Rhinolophus ferrumequinum: one gene and its partner. Each later gene encodes a partner of the first gene's protein in a complex. Links are inferred from orthologs where the notes say so. Each region holds a gene or a part of one and is shown on either strand. Other genes may lie near its edges.

Region 1 (7,294 bases):
GCCACCTTTGGACCCAGCTGGAGTCCAAAGGACAACACTTCCAAGGACAACACACTCAATGGGCACACTGGACAGGCACCACAGCCCTGCTAAGTGAATCCTGCTCCATAGTGTCAGTCCGTGCACAACAGCTCTTTTACTGTAGTCACAGCCTGTCCTCACAACCAATCAGCCTGAGGGTCAATCCCTCCCACTGATGAGAAAATAGCAACCAAAGCTCAACTACAACAGGAGGGCACACCCAACCACACAAGCAACACGTGGAGCACCCGGCTCAGGTGAACAGGGAGACTGTGCCACTGGGTCCCACAGCACACCTACTACATAAGGCCACTTTGCTAAGACTGGGAGCTATAACATCCCTACTTAATACATAGAAACAAACACAGGAAGGCAGCTAACATGGGGAGACAAGAAACATGTCCCAAATAGAAGAACAGAACAAAGCTCCAAAAAAAGAATGAAACAAAATGGAGACAACCAATCTACTAGAGTTCAAAACACTGGTTATAAGGATGCCCCGTGACCTCAGGGAGAACTCCAACAAAGAGATAGGAATCATAAAAATGGAAATAGAAAACATACAAAAAGAACCAATCAGAAATAGAGAATACAATAACTGAAATGAAGAATACATTACAAGGAACCAACAGTAGATCAGATGAAGCAGAGGACTAATTCTGCAATTTAGAAGGTAAGGTAGCAGACAACACCCAATCAGAACAGAAAAAAAAAATCGAAAAACATGAGCATAGTTTAAGGGGCCTCTGGGACAACATCAAGCGTACCATCATTCGCATTATAGGGGTACCAGAAGGAGAAAAGAGACAGCAAGGAATTGAAAACCTATTTGAAGAAATATCGATGGAAAACTTCCCTAACCTGGTGAAGGAAATTGATATATTAGCCCAGGAAGGGCAGAGAGTCCCAAACAAGATGAACTCAAAGACACACCAAGACACGTCATAATTAAAATGCCAAAGGTTAAAGACAAAGAAAGAATCCTAAAAGCAGCAAGAGAAAAGCAGTTAGTTACCTACAAGGAAACTCCTGTAAGACTCTCAGCTGATTCAACAGAAACTTTGCAGGCCAGAAGGGATTGGCAAGAAATACTCAAAAAGTGATGAAAAACAAGACTTGGGAACGGCAGGCAGAGGCTGTTACATGGTTGCTGGACTTACGGTGATCATTTCTTTAGAAATATAAATGTTGAATAGCTATAGCTTACACCTGAAACTAATATAATATTGCATGTTAGGTATATTTTAATACAAATCTTAAAAAATAATAAAACAAATGGCCCTGGATTAGAACCTTGCCTTCATTCCTAGCTTCACTTCTGCTATAAACTACTCCAATCCTTCCCTGGACATCGAGGTGCTGAGGGCCTGTTCTGGGCCATGCCCTGGGCGGGCGCAATGAAACCAGAGAGAGAGATCCTGAGGAGATCAGCTCGCACCTTCATGTGCTCAGAGCCCAGTGGCCTTCGGCAAAGCATTTTACCCTACTTCATCTCAGTGTCCTCCTCAATAAAAAACACACTGTTCTTTCTCCCCAAATGGCTTGTTATACGGACTGAGTGAGAAGGGAAGGAAGAGCCTTCATAAGAGATGAAAAGCATGGAGTTATGCAAATGCATCTAGGTACCTGGGAAATGTCTGTCCCTGCTGTCACTTCTCCCCAGAGTCCCCCCTCCCACAAGGGTGCAGCAGGGCCCAAGATGGACAAACAGGGAGTAGGTACTCCAGGAGGAGGCCCCGGGCCAGCCAGCAGGCATCCAGAGGGTCAAGAGATGGGAAAAGCCTCCTGCCGGAAGTGTGGGGAACTGAGTGGTCCATTGGGGGTGTGCTCCAGGTCCAGAGAGACCCACACAGCGTTTGGTTTTCTTCGAGTTCAGGAGTTTTATGGGTTAGAATAAAATTCAAGTCCAGAGTTACAGAATGGAACCTGAGGAAGAGGTCTAATTGTAGGGAACACACCCATTGAGGAGATTTGGGATGGGATCCCACAGCTGCCAGGAGCCTGACTTTGGCCAGTGCCTCCCAATGTCCGTGTCTCAGCTTTCCTCCTTGTGGACCAGGACGGATACCCACATGCTGACATCGGTGGCGGCAGCTCTGGGAGCCTGCAGTGGCAGCCTCCCCTCAGTCACCCCTTTCCCCAACAAGCAAAGCCCACCCAGAGGAGGCTTTGAGAACAGGAGGGCAGGGTCCTGCTTCACCCTGGGGCTCAGGCCTTCCTGGGGTGACGTGACTAAGTCAATCATAGCAATTGTCCAGGAAGGCATGCATGTGACTCAGAGAAGACTGGGCTTTAGGGTGGAGCCCCAGCTCTGCTCCTTCCTGTGGGCACCTCAATTTCCATGGCCCTCAGGCTCCTTGTCTGTGAAACGGAGGCAATAACACCACTGAGCTGCGAGTGTGCACATGTGGCTGCCGGCTTCTGCCAGGTGCCCGTCAGTGGTGTCTGCCAGGTGCCCGTCAATGGCACCGGGGCTAGCCTCCCGGCCCTGATCTGACCGCAAGGCCCTCCTGCCGAGGAGGCTGCTGGGCCTAGGGAAGCCCGGGCACCTGCCATCGCCCTCTGCCCTGAGTCTGTCTTCCTGCAGCAGAAGACCAGGACAGTTTCTCTGCCCTCCTCCTTGCTGTCAGGCTGGCCCTCAGCCTGAGGGGCCGAGACGCTGGCCTGGGGTTTTTGGTTTCCAGGCTCCTAAAGGGAATCTCCAGCTCTCTCCTTTGCAGGACTATCCCACCTTGTCTCCAGCTGAGCTCTGCAGCACTTCCCTGCATCTGCGTCTCCCAACCCTCCACTTGCCCAGCGACCCTCCTCCAGAGAGGTGACCCACTCCTTCTGTCTTCCTACTTGTCAGGAGGTGGGCCTGTAGGCCTGGTGCATCTGACAGGCAGAGAAGGCCCCAGGCACTCCCTTACCTTGTCAGTACTGGGGTCTGGCTGACTCGCTTCTCCACTCCCCTAGGCACTGCAAAAGAGCAGGACGTGAGGCAAGGCCAGGGCTCAGGGTACGTGGGGGAGTAAGGGAGGGAAGGGAGAGGCGGAAGGGCCCCAGGAGGAAATGGCCGAGGAGCACGGGGACAAACGTAATTTATTACAGGACTTTGTCCTTGGGCTCCGGGAACATCCACTCCCAGGAGTCCCCTGCAGCCCCAGCCAGCAGAGACTCACAGAGCTCTGATCTTTAACCCTGGCCTCTTCGGCAGACTCCCCCAACGCCATCAGAGTTTGCTCACATATCTGCTGCTGCTGGCATCAGCAAAGTCCCTGGTGACAATCAGCAAATCATCCAGGGAGCTCAGCATTTTCCTAGGTGTCATGAGGACTGTAAGGAAGCCACCAGAAGAAGCTCTGCTCTCAAGCCCCCATGTCCTCACTTGAGGCACACACGCAGGAGACGTCTGGGGAAGTCAGGATGCTTTATCACAGAGCTAGAGACTACCTGGCAATGGGGTTCCCAGTGGGGTCCCTGGGAGCAGGGGTGCCAGCTTGCCCTGAGACTTGAGTGAAGGGGACATTTTCGCTGTGAGGCACATACAAGCCCTTCTGAGGGAAAGGGTGTTGAGCAATGTGCCCTGAGAGAGGCCAGACTTCAGGGTACAGGTAGTCGCTGCAAATGTGACTGCATGGGCTGTGAAGACACCTGCTTGCTGCAGCCCTTTTCTTGGGGAAGAGAGGCCTCAGCGGTCCTGCAGATGGCCAAGCAGGTTCCTTCCCTTTCCCAGGACATGGGAGAGACTTGAGAACTGCAGGCAGAGGTGCGGGATCTAGCTTTTGTTTTTAGATAGAGTTGAGGCCACAGCAAGGTGGCACCCCTGACCTTAGGCCTCTTTTTGGGACAGCAACTAAGCGCTAGTGGGAGAGAGAGAAGAACCACAGAGGGGGAGCCCTGGAGAGAGCCAGAGGCCTATGCCTGCTGGGGGTGGGTGAGGAGGGGCTCTGTGGCATTGCCAGCTTCCTTCTGCTCGTTTTGTTGAGACAGGTGAAGAAGTTTCAGTTTCTTACAAGCAACCAGCCATGACAAAGAAGAGAAGTAGTTGGGAGCTGACTTAATGAAGGGCAATGCATTTGAAAGGAGCTGTGCCCCGAGCCTTTCCTCCAGCCCTATCTGCTCCCCACCAGGAGCACTGTGCTCAAGTTCCACTCCGGCTCCAACTAGCCTCCTAACCCCTAACATCCCACCAGTTCCTGGGCCAATATTTGCTTTTTGGGGCTTCACATAGCACGTGGCTTCTCTGGTTTAGAAAGATGCCATTTCACGCCCATGGGATTGGCACTGATGCTCCTGACAGCTATAGAAATGGTGAGCCCCTTACCCTGAGACTTTGGGTACCAGCTGGGTCCTCTACAGCCCTCTGCCACTGCTCCTGTGGAGGGCGGGGCGGGGGGGGGAAGAGTGGGACAGCATATCTGTGTGGAACAAGCGATGTATAACAGGTCTCTCTCCAGAGCTTGTCTTAGGCAAAATTTAATAGAAACACATTTCAGATATCTAGAGTCTCCTGCTTCTTTTTACATCTGACATTATATCATAAAGAATCTTCTTACACTGTACTGAACTTTAACCGCCGTCTCTAAAGAAAGTGCGATAGCCCCTCCAACAAGCACTCCTTCACTTGTGTGACTATCTGTGGATATCATGAGGCATCCAACCCTTTGTCACATACAACACATGTCACACACAACACGGCAGTGAACAATGTGTGCTCACAGCTTTGTTTGCACTACATCATTACAGCAATATTCGAGAGGGGAACTTACTGAAACAAGGGCAGGAACATTTTGTTGCCAACCCTTCCTAAGTGGTACATTAAGTCCTTCCTCCCAGCAAAAGGTGCACATGTAATTGCAAGGACCTGAGCTGGCAGTGGCTCAGAGGGGGACCCCTGGAGGGGCAGTTCTCCTGGAGTCCAAGAGAGGCTGAGGTTCCCCAAGCCATGAAAACCAAGAAGAGGGGCTAGGGGCAGGCAGCATAGGCTCCTCCCTGTCACCACTGTGACCAAACGTGGCTCTCCCACAGCCTAATGCTACCTCCACAATTTTCCTCCAGATGTGAATATTCTGCTAACCTTTAAAAATATGTTTCTGAACGCAAACAAAATGCCTCCATGGAACAACATATGTTTCATTCCACTTTTGTCCAACGATGGAGCCCATTTTGGCATTGTCATAGCAACTGAAACAGAGCATAGCGAGCATTTCCTTTGAGCTCTGAATTCATAGAGCAACCTGAATTTCCTTGCTTCCTAGTGGCCCTTATCTTCCCATCTAGCCTACAGCTGCCAAGTTACCCATTAACACTATAAAATAGCACAGCTGCCAGCATGGATCTCTTTCACTGAGCTACTATTTACAGAATTTTAGAATTCTCAGTTTCAAACAGGACTAGGATTTAATGAGTGCCTTCAACGTGCTGGGCTCTTTGTACGTGCCATCTCATTCAACCCTCATCAAAATCCTACAAATGAGGGGTGTTATCCTCATTTCACAGTAAGAAGTAAAAACCAAAGAGGTTACGACACTTGCTTAGGTCACACAGCTAAAAGTGGGGGGCAATATTTAACTCAAGGTCCATCAGTCCCCACGGCCGGTGATCATTGCGCTGTGTTGCGCTGTGTTGCACCAACCCTCAACGCAACTGGACCCCATCCCCCCACACCTAACATCCTAACGTTAGAGATTTTCAGGGGAGATGCTTCCCCAACTTGCTCACCCCAGCCCAGGGTCTGAAAGCCCTTTCCCTTCCATTTCCGTGGTCTTCAGTGTGAAGGCAGAGGGGTATCTGGAAAGAAGCAGGGCTTCTCAGTCTTGGCACTGTTGATATTTTGGACTAGTTTATTGTTTGCTGAGGGGTTGGGAGGAGTTGTCCTGTTCATCATAGGATGTTTAGCAGCACCCACAGCCTCTACCTACTCAATGTACTCCCCCAGTACTGCAATCAAAATGTCTCCAAATATTGCCAGATGTCTCCTGGGAGATAAGATGACCCCAGGCTGAGAACCAATGTACACCTCACAGGTCCAGGTGTAACTGAGGCTGGAGGAAGAGGAAGCCAGCAAGGGCCAAAAAGGGATGTCCTCCTTTGCCTCCTTGAATGGCAGGAAGATATGGCTTCGAAGATATGGAAGGTGCAGGGAAGGGGCTATTGGACTAGTACTTCCAGATGGTCTTGGTTCTGACACACCGAGGAAAGGACCATGCCATTCCAGCCCGGTACTTCATCCCCCAGAGCAGCTACTGTGCCATAGTCATCGTCAGCCTGGGTGGAGCTTGGCTCCAAAGTCCTGACGGGTCAGGAAGGCCATCTAAGTCCAGCAGAAAATGACTCATTTCTGATTGTGCTTTATCACCATAACCCCTCTGAGAAACCCACCCAGAGGTTTGTCCAAGACAGCAGGAGGGGCAAAGTCACTTTGTCCTCTCTGAAGAGCTATGGGCAATCACTGAATACCCCTCAGCCTTGGGCCCTAGCACTGAAACCTAGACCCTAGTCATAAACAGGGCCTCTGCCCATGAGCAGGGCCCATGGCTTCCTGGTGACTAATCTGATTGTCCTGGTGACACTGAGGTAGTGGGAGGGGAAAGCAAAACTTGATTCTGTGACAAATTCAGCAAACCAGGTAGAAGATGCTGAAGGTTCTGATTGTAATGGTGATAATGGTACTCTCTTAGTGCTTCGGAGAGGTTGAGGGTGAAAGTGCACTGCTAAGAGCTTCATTTCTGGGAACAGAAGCATTCGGATGGGTTTCTTACCCCTGGCTGGAATGCTCTGTGTGCACCAAGATCAGTTTCCTGTTCTTCTTGGTCCCACAGCTGGGGCATTCTTTCCGGCCTCATTTATAATCAGGAGTGGCCATGGAATGAGGGTGTGGGGTCCAGAACGAGTCACCCGAAGATGTGCCTCTGTAATGTGCACATTGTTTTGAGCTGCAGGCTCAAGAGAAACTTCTGCAAACCCCACCCCCCTTAACTACCTGGAAGAATTTGAATTAGAGGCCTTGCCCATAAGAGAGTATCAGAGGCAATTTCTTTTGACCTGTCTACAAGGCAGGGCACACTTCTATTTACTAAAGGTCTGCTCTTGTCATCATGCATGACCTTGGAAGCCCCCAAGGCACCTTACCTCATCCCTAGCTCAGGATGTCTTCTATACCTCAATCTGCCTTTCTTTCTCTGAACCTCTCCTGCCTATAGCGTCTCTGATTCTATCATGTATGCAGGGTTCCCATACATATGTATGTATTAAATTTGGTTATTTTCTCCTGCTAATCTATCTCATGTCT
Region 2 (7,434 bases), on another chromosome or scaffold:
GCCCCTCACTGGGTCCCTGGCTGTGCCCCCAGGACAGCTGGGCCGTCCCCCTTATCCTAATCTCAGAGGAGTTTGCTGGCCACTCACCACCACAGTGATGGAGCAAGGTTGGAGCACAAGGGAATGTTCACACATTTGTTTGAAAATCACAACAGAACTGGCTGCATGGCACCCAGGCCCCACCCCCGGTGCCGACAGACCCTGACCCTGACCCTGACCCAGCTCGGGACGTGGCCCTGCCCTCCCTATCCCCAGTACCAGTTTGTGGCCTGTGGGGATAGCCCCACGATACTCGGCGTGGACGCAGACATAATTGTCAGAGTAGATGCAGGGCAGGAACCAGGGAGGCCGCAGGTCGGCCGGCTGCACCTCCAGGACCAAAGTGGCGTTGTCCGTGTGGCTGGGCACCTCGTTCTCCTCCCGGGTGTCCTGCAATAGCCAAGCCCTGCCAATCAGCCCGGGAGCCAGGGCTGGGGTAGCGTGGGTGGGGGTCCGGGACTCAGAGTGGAGGTGGCCTGCTTACCCGCACCAGCAGCTGGAAGGTCATGTGCGGCCATTTGTCGAAGTCCAGTGGCCGATCCAGCCGCAGGGCAGGGCGGTTTGCACCCACCAAGGAGAAGAAGCTCTTGGCCCCCTGGGGAGGTGGAGGGCACATCCTGAGACCCTGGGAGGACGCCAGTGGTGGGGGGAGTTGGGGCTGGGGCAGGGAGACTGACCGGGGTCACTTCCTGGAGGGTGTAGAACAAGATGTTGTCTTTGTCGCGGTCCTGGGCCTCCAGGTCCTTCTCAGGGATGACCGTGGTGTGCACTTTAGTGTCCTGGGAGCCGCAGGGGGTGGTTCTGGCCATGGACCCAGCCCCATGGTCAAGCCCCCACTAGCCCTCTATGCCCCCAGTGCCGGCCCTGGCTCCCCTCACACTCACCTCCGGCACCCTCTCGACCTTGACCTCAAAGGGGAACACAGGGGGGTTGTCGTTGACGTCCAACACGGACACGAATACCCGCAGCTGGGTCACCTGGGGGTCCGGGGTGGAGGTCAGCCTTCTCCCCACAGGTCCCCCCCAGAGGGGCACCCTGGGGGACCCCGCTCATCCCAGGTGCTGGGCACATCACAAGGCCAAGCCCTCTGCTCTGAGGGGTTCCAGACAAAGAATAAAAAGCCATTTGTAAAGTGTGGAAGGTGACGAGTGCCCTGCAGAGAAGGAACGCGGGTGCTGGGTTGCCAGAGCCCCAAGGAAGGGACCAGAAGAGCAGTCAAATATCCCAAAACCTAAGTCTCAAAGGAAAAAGAGAACAGAAAGGGGACCCAAAGATTGAAAGAGACTTAAGAGAAATATCAACCAGTTGCCCAGGGTGACCCTGCTGCACCTGTGACAGAGCCTCTGACCAGATATCTCCAGGGTGTCCTGTGATGCCGAGTCCCTGCTTTTCTCAGGTGTGAACCAGTGGCGTGTGATGTGTAAGAAGGGTCCTTATCTTAGTGACTTTGAGATGTTTGTAGGCGGGGCACCCACAGGGCTCAGTGGCTCCCTGCAGAGCTGGCAGGTGCACGGGGCTTGGGACACTGTCCCTTGTTTGTGCCTTTGAAACTTCCCATCATAAAAGGTGAGTCAAGGTCAGGGGCTAAGGTGTGTGGGGTGAGGGGGTAGCATTGCGACTTAGAATAAGGTCAGGGGGTGACAACTGAGTGACAGACGAGGCACAACATCTCGCGAGTTCTGGGCAGGGCTCCACGGGCTGGCTCCTCTTGCCACACGGACAGTGGACTGGGGTGGGTGGGGCCGAGAGGGCAGCGAGTGGACCAGTTGGAAGGTTCCATAAAGGAGATGCTGGTAGCCAGCGCCTGAGTCAGGAGGCAGGAGGCCCAGCTTGAGGCCCAGCCAGCAGATATGCTGATACGAGGACGTGGGGCAGGCAGAGGACAGGACTGAGCTGGAGGGTGAGGCGCCTCCCCAGATGGGGTCTCGGGTTGGGGGTGTGATGTCCTATCAGGGTGGCTGGGTTTGCGAGTCTGCAGCTCAGGGCGGTCTGGGCTGGAGGAAGTGTGGGCATCACCAGCACAGGAGTGACACTTGAAAACACACCACTGGGTGAGGTCACTGGGGAGGAACCCTGGACAGGCAGAGCACAGAGGTCCAAGCACTCTGACGTCACAGGGTGAGGGAGGGGACGTGGGGGCCGCCCAGGAAGTAGAGAGCTGGGCTTGACTCACCACGGTGTCACCCCTTCTGCATTCCAGGTGTGCCTGCAGTATTGTGTTCTCCTGTGGGGGCGGAGAGGTGTCAGCGCACCTGTGCAGCTGGTCACAGCACACTGTTCTCATCCCTCAGGGGAGGGCACAGCGCCAGAGGGGCAGATACTCGCCCAAGGTCCCCGTCATCTTTGCTAAGTCCAGAGCGCACTGGGGACCCAGGCAGCTTTGTCCTCCAAGGGCCCTGGCCCCTCGCGTTTGCTTTCAACCAAGCCTTGGGGCCCAACAGGGGTTGGTCACTACCTGGGGGACAGAGAGCCTTCAGGACTCCCAAAAACCCTTCTCTGCATGGGTCCCACAGGGGTTGGCGGCCCCAGGCACCCCACCGGCCCACCCCTCCCTGGTCTGCCGTTTGTACCTCATAGTCAGGAGTCACATTGAGAAAGAGCTGGGTGCCCTCGATCCGAAATGCGAAGGGGGTGGATGAGGGTCCGAGGGTCACGCGCTGGCCCTCAGGGACATTGATGTCCACCAAGGGCCCACTAGGCTCCGTATTCTCCTGGACTTCAAAGAAGGTATTGTCCACAGAGCAAACTGGAAAGTAGAGAAGGGTCAGTGCCTTTCAACCCCTGCCTGCCGCCCGCCCCCCTCTCCCTCCGCGCGCCCCGGCCAAGCCCGCATGTACCCTGGGCCTGGGCTACGGCTGTGAGCAGCGGCAGCAGCAGGACCCAAGACCCCATCTTGGGGCCAGCGGGAGAGTCTAAGCCCGGCTGGCGACCGGGACCCTCTGAGTAGCCTGTGCTGGTGGCAGTCTCTGCCGGGACGACCTTTACCCCTGCCCGGCACCGCCCACTTTATGATCCTTTACGATTGGCCTCCACCTGGGGGGCTCCCGCGGGCCGAGCCCATGCCAGGCCTAGGAGGGGGAGGCCTTGTGGTTACCTGGCAGGAGCCGGGCCACATGCAGGTGCCAACGGGGGCTCAACCCACAGTCACGAAGACATGAGGTGGAAAGGAGCTCACAGAATGCTCAGGACACATGGGCCTGGGTGGGGTGGGGGGTGTGGGGGTGCCCGCGGGGGGCCGAAGAGAGGGGCTGAGCAAGAGCTGGGGGCAGGGGGCTAGGGACTCAGGGAATCTAGGATTGGGGGATTGAGGACAGGGAAGGGGCTGGCCTTTGGCTTCTGTCTGCTATGCTGTCCCCACCCCAGATGCCTCTGCTGGGTTCTTCCGCCAGAATGCTGTTGGGGCAAAGTCCTAGGCAGCCCCGTGGTTCGGACCTCAGGTTCCCCTCCAGTCCCGTCTCCTCTCCCACACTGACCATCTAAATCTGGAAGGAAAAGGCTGTATTCTGGGGACACACCTGCCTGTCCTGGAAATCAGCCAGCTCCCTCCTGGTGGGGCTGCGCAGGGGCACAGTGATGGAAATGGCAGCGCTTCAGGGGCACCTCGGGTCCCCGGGAGCTCTGGTGCCCGACAGCAGGCTGATTCTGGAGAGGCTCCCAGCGGCTAGGGAGAGGCCACTCGGTAAGTCCAGGAGGGAGGGAAGGGGCTGGGTGACAGTGGGGCGGCCCTTCTCCCCTTCAGATCCTTGCACCTGCTTCTTCTCCCTGTTCTCTCTGCTGGTGACAGCAATTCTGCCTGCCATGTGCCTAACCGGCCTCCTGCACCCCCAGCACTTCTTGGGGTGTCATTACTGTCCCTGCTCCACAGGCTCAGCATGGTTGAGCCGCTTGTCCAAGACCACAACCCTGGACAGAGAGCCCAGACGCCTGGCTTCCAGAGTGGACTCATAGCCTCCTGGTAACCCCCTACACACACAGCCCCACTGCCTGTCACCTCTTCCTGCCCAGCCTGAGCCTCGTCACCCCCCTTAAAATTCCCCCCACCTGCTCCACACACCTAGCACATGGCAGCTGGGGCAGGAACTGGGGAACGTCCTGAGCCGCCCCTCAGAGTCCCTGAATGTTTGCTGAGTGGATGACAAGGGGTGCGGGCGGGGCCCTGGGGAGTGCAGTCGATGGGACAGGAAGTGGCCCTGATGCCAGAGATAAGGAAAGGGGAAGGTGAGGCGCCCACTGTCTTCTCTGGTTTAAAGGGCAGCTGGGCGTGGCCCCTGCTGGGCTCCCGGGCAGGACCTCCTCCCCTGTGAGCTCTGCCCAGCAGGCTGTCTCCCAGCGCAGGCAGAGACGGTGCACACAGCGCGCTCGCCAGGCCAGGGTCTGAATTCCTTCTTTATTGGTGCCAAGTGCAACCCCCTCCTTCCCACCAACCCTGCCCCATCCAGGTTCGCGCCCCCGTCAGAAGAGGGGAGGTTCCTTCTTCCTCAGGACGTCATCTGGGTCTCAGCAGGGATGGCCGGCTCTGAAACCATGACCCCAGACTTGAGTCCAAGAGACAGCCGGGGAGACCAGGCCTGATTCAGGGGGTCCCTCAGGGCCATCATCCTGCAGAGACAGCTGGGTTAGGGGCTGTGGGCCTGAAGGTGGAGACCCCTGCCCACCTGGTGAACCGGCCTCCTTGGGTCACCAGCGCTAACTCTCCCCACCCCTGGCCCACTGCTGACACGGGGTGCCCCAGGGGACCAGAGGGACGGTCGGGGCGGAGCTCTGGTGAGGGGGGCGGGCTCACCAGGCCTGCAGGGCAGGAGAATGGGACCACAGCAGGCAGAGGGGGACCTCGGCAGGCTCGGTGGCAGACCCAGTCCAGGATGTGCTGTTCTCCGCGTCCTGCTCGCTGCCCCCCGCCCCAAATCAGAATTAGTCGTGGAATTGGGGGTGGAGACTGCTGCGTGAGGGACAGCCCCATGCGGGGCCTGCCCCTCAGGGGGGCCCCAGGCCCGACCTCACCTGCGCTTCCCGACCAGTCCCTGGAGCAGGCGCTGCAGCCGCGCGCTCTCCCGCAGACGGCTGAGCTCGCTCGTGAACGTCCCGTCCGAGTGTCGCGGGGCCCTGAGGAGGGGGTGACGGCGCCGCAGCGGATCAGGGCCAAGCAAGGGTGGGGCGGACGCAGGGCCGGTAGGCGGGCCCAAGGGGCTGTGTGGGCCCCGGGACCTTGGGCTCACCTGGGGGGCGCGGGGCGCCCGGCAGAGCCTTGGAGCAGCGGAGACAGCAGCAGCAGCAGTAGCAGGGCCCGGGGGGCCATGGTGGGCGCGCCGGGGTGTTAAGCGCTGCGGCCGCGGCCAGAGCTGCGCGCCACCCTTTATAGCGGCGCCCGGCGGGGGGCGGGGGGCGGGGGCGTCAGCACCGCCCTGGCTCCACGCAGCCCGGGCCGCTCCCCCATCGATCCGCGGGAAGGTCAGGGCCGCCCCCCCAGCTGTCAACCCGGCTGGTCGCCCGCCCCCAGCGCCGCGTCGGCGCCCCTCGGCGGGCTGGCGGGGCTCAGCCGGACGTGGACTTGCGGGCACGCGGGGGCCGGGGCGGGAGGAGGGACGTCCGGGCGGGGCGGTGGCGCGGATGCGCGGCGGGAACGTCTGTGCAGAGCCTGGGGCCGGGGGCCTCGGAGATGAGCTCAGGAGGGTCAAGGCTGGGACAGAGCGCGAGGCGACCCGAGGCCGCGGGCTCCTCTGGAGAGGCCCCGGCACACGGTGCGCGCGGCTGGGCAGGGGGCGGCGTCAGGGAAGGCCGAGCGCGGACCGGTGACCTCACTGCCACTCCCCGTGGGGGGGCGGCGCGGAGGGGAGCTGCAGGCAGGGCGCAGATCCGAGCCTGGGGGCCTCGCCATTTGTTTTTCGAGACGGGGGAGACCTGAGCCTGTTTCAGGGGCGGTAGGAGGTGGAGACGCGGAAAGGGGAGGAAAGGGGAGGCAGCTGGGTTCCTGCTGCGTAATCAATAAGGGATTAAGTAAAGCTAGGCTTCTTAAACTCCTGTGTGCATTAAATCCTTAAATAGAAATCACAAATCTAGTCAATGAAGTTATAAACTAGTTCTTGTGTTAAACTTTACGTGCATTTTAAATATAATTAGTAGACTTTTTTAGAGCAGTTTTAGGTTTACAGAAAAATTGAGCTGCAATAGTTCCCCCAGCACAAACACACCCAGCCTCCCCTCGTCCCAGCATCTTGCATTGGTGTTCTGCATTTGTTACAGTTGTTACAGTTGATGACCCGGTATTGATACATTGTTATTACCTAAGTCCATAATTGACATCAGGACTCACTGTTGGTGGTGTACATTCTGGGGGTTTGGACAGGATGTACAGTGACATGTACCCACAATCAATCTCACACAGATTAGTCCCACCGCCCTAAGAACCTCTGTGCTCCGTCTGTTCATCTCTCCTTCCTCCCCAACCTGTGACGACCACTGATCTTTACGGTCTCCATAGTTCTGCCTTTTCCAGAATGTCCTACCTCAGGAATCACACAGCATGTGGCTTTTTCAGGCTGGCTTCTTTCACTTAGTTTCCTCCATGTCCTCTCTGGCTTCAGAGCTCATTTCTCTTTAACACTGAATTCGATTCCATTGTCTGGATGTCCCACAGTTTATTCATCCATCACCTACTGAAGGACGTCCTGGTTGCTTCCAGATTTGGCAATTTGAGTAAGGCTGTTACAAACCTCTGTGTGCAGGTTTTAGTGGGGACGTGACTTTCAACTTATTTGGGTAAATACGAAGAAACACGATTGCTGGATCACATGATAAGAGTGTGTTTGGTTTTGTAAGAAACTGCCACCCTGTCCTCCAAAGTGGCTGCACCATCTGCACACACACCCCCCACCAGCCGTGGTGGGAATTCCTGTGGCCCCACGTCCTCCCAGCCAGCACTCAGTGTCACTGGGGCTCTGGGTTGTGGTCCGTCTGGTAGGTGTGCTGTGCTCCCTCGCTGATGATTCTTTGCATGTGTTTTTAAACAGATGGTGTGACTTGTTCTTGCACAAACTTGGCAAATTGAAATGTTCTAAACTTTAATACCATTGACTGATGAATTGCATTCATGAGAATGTTCCAAGCTCCAAATACTAATTTAATTGGTTGAATTTCTTAGCACCTCAAACACTTAAGTAACCAGGCAGATCTTCGTAAGAAAAATCTTCCCATTTAAAAAAGATTAACACGCAATAAAATGGGCTTTAAAAATTAACATACAGTAAAGTTAATATATAGTAAAATAATGAATTTTGACAGATGTACAGATCCGTGTAAACAGCACCATAATCGGGATACAGGACAACTCCATCACCGCAAACAACTCCCTCATGCTGCCCCTCTGTGGTCACATCACAGCCAGAGCGATGGGTCACA

Evidence for each region.
Region 2: MYO7B (region 1) and CDHR5 share a complex: the UniProt entries of both Homo sapiens proteins name them as parts of the IMAC/intermicrovillar adhesion complex. The link is inferred for Rhinolophus ferrumequinum from reciprocal best matches to the Homo sapiens genes MYO7B and CDHR5.

What each region holds. Positions count from the first base shown.
Region 1 is NW_022680440.1:608,118-615,411, reverse strand, and holds the start of MYO7B (unconventional myosin-VIIb), read right to left. Parts: upstream 3,078-7,294; 5' UTR 2,931-3,077; intron 1-2,930. UniProt on the Homo sapiens protein: Myosins are actin-based motor molecules with ATPase activity. Their highly divergent tails are presumed to bind to membranous compartments, which would be moved relative to actin filaments.
Region 2 is NC_046294.1:368,632-376,065, forward strand, and holds the start of CDHR5 (cadherin-related family member 5), read right to left. Parts: upstream 3,029-7,434; 5' UTR 2,932-3,028; coding exon 2,877-2,931; intron 2,786-2,876; coding exon 2,610-2,785; intron 2,264-2,609; coding exon 2,213-2,263; intron 1,017-2,212; coding exon 924-1,016; intron 819-923; coding exon 717-818; intron 635-716; coding exon 524-634; intron 430-523; coding exon 259-429; intron 1-258. Other genes in the region: SCT (secretin), read right to left, coding at 4,518-4,638, 4,823-4,927, 5,041-5,142, 5,256-5,335. UniProt on the Homo sapiens protein: Intermicrovillar adhesion molecule that forms, via its extracellular domain, calcium-dependent heterophilic complexes with CDHR2 on adjacent microvilli. Thereby, controls the packing of microvilli at the apical membrane of epithelial cells.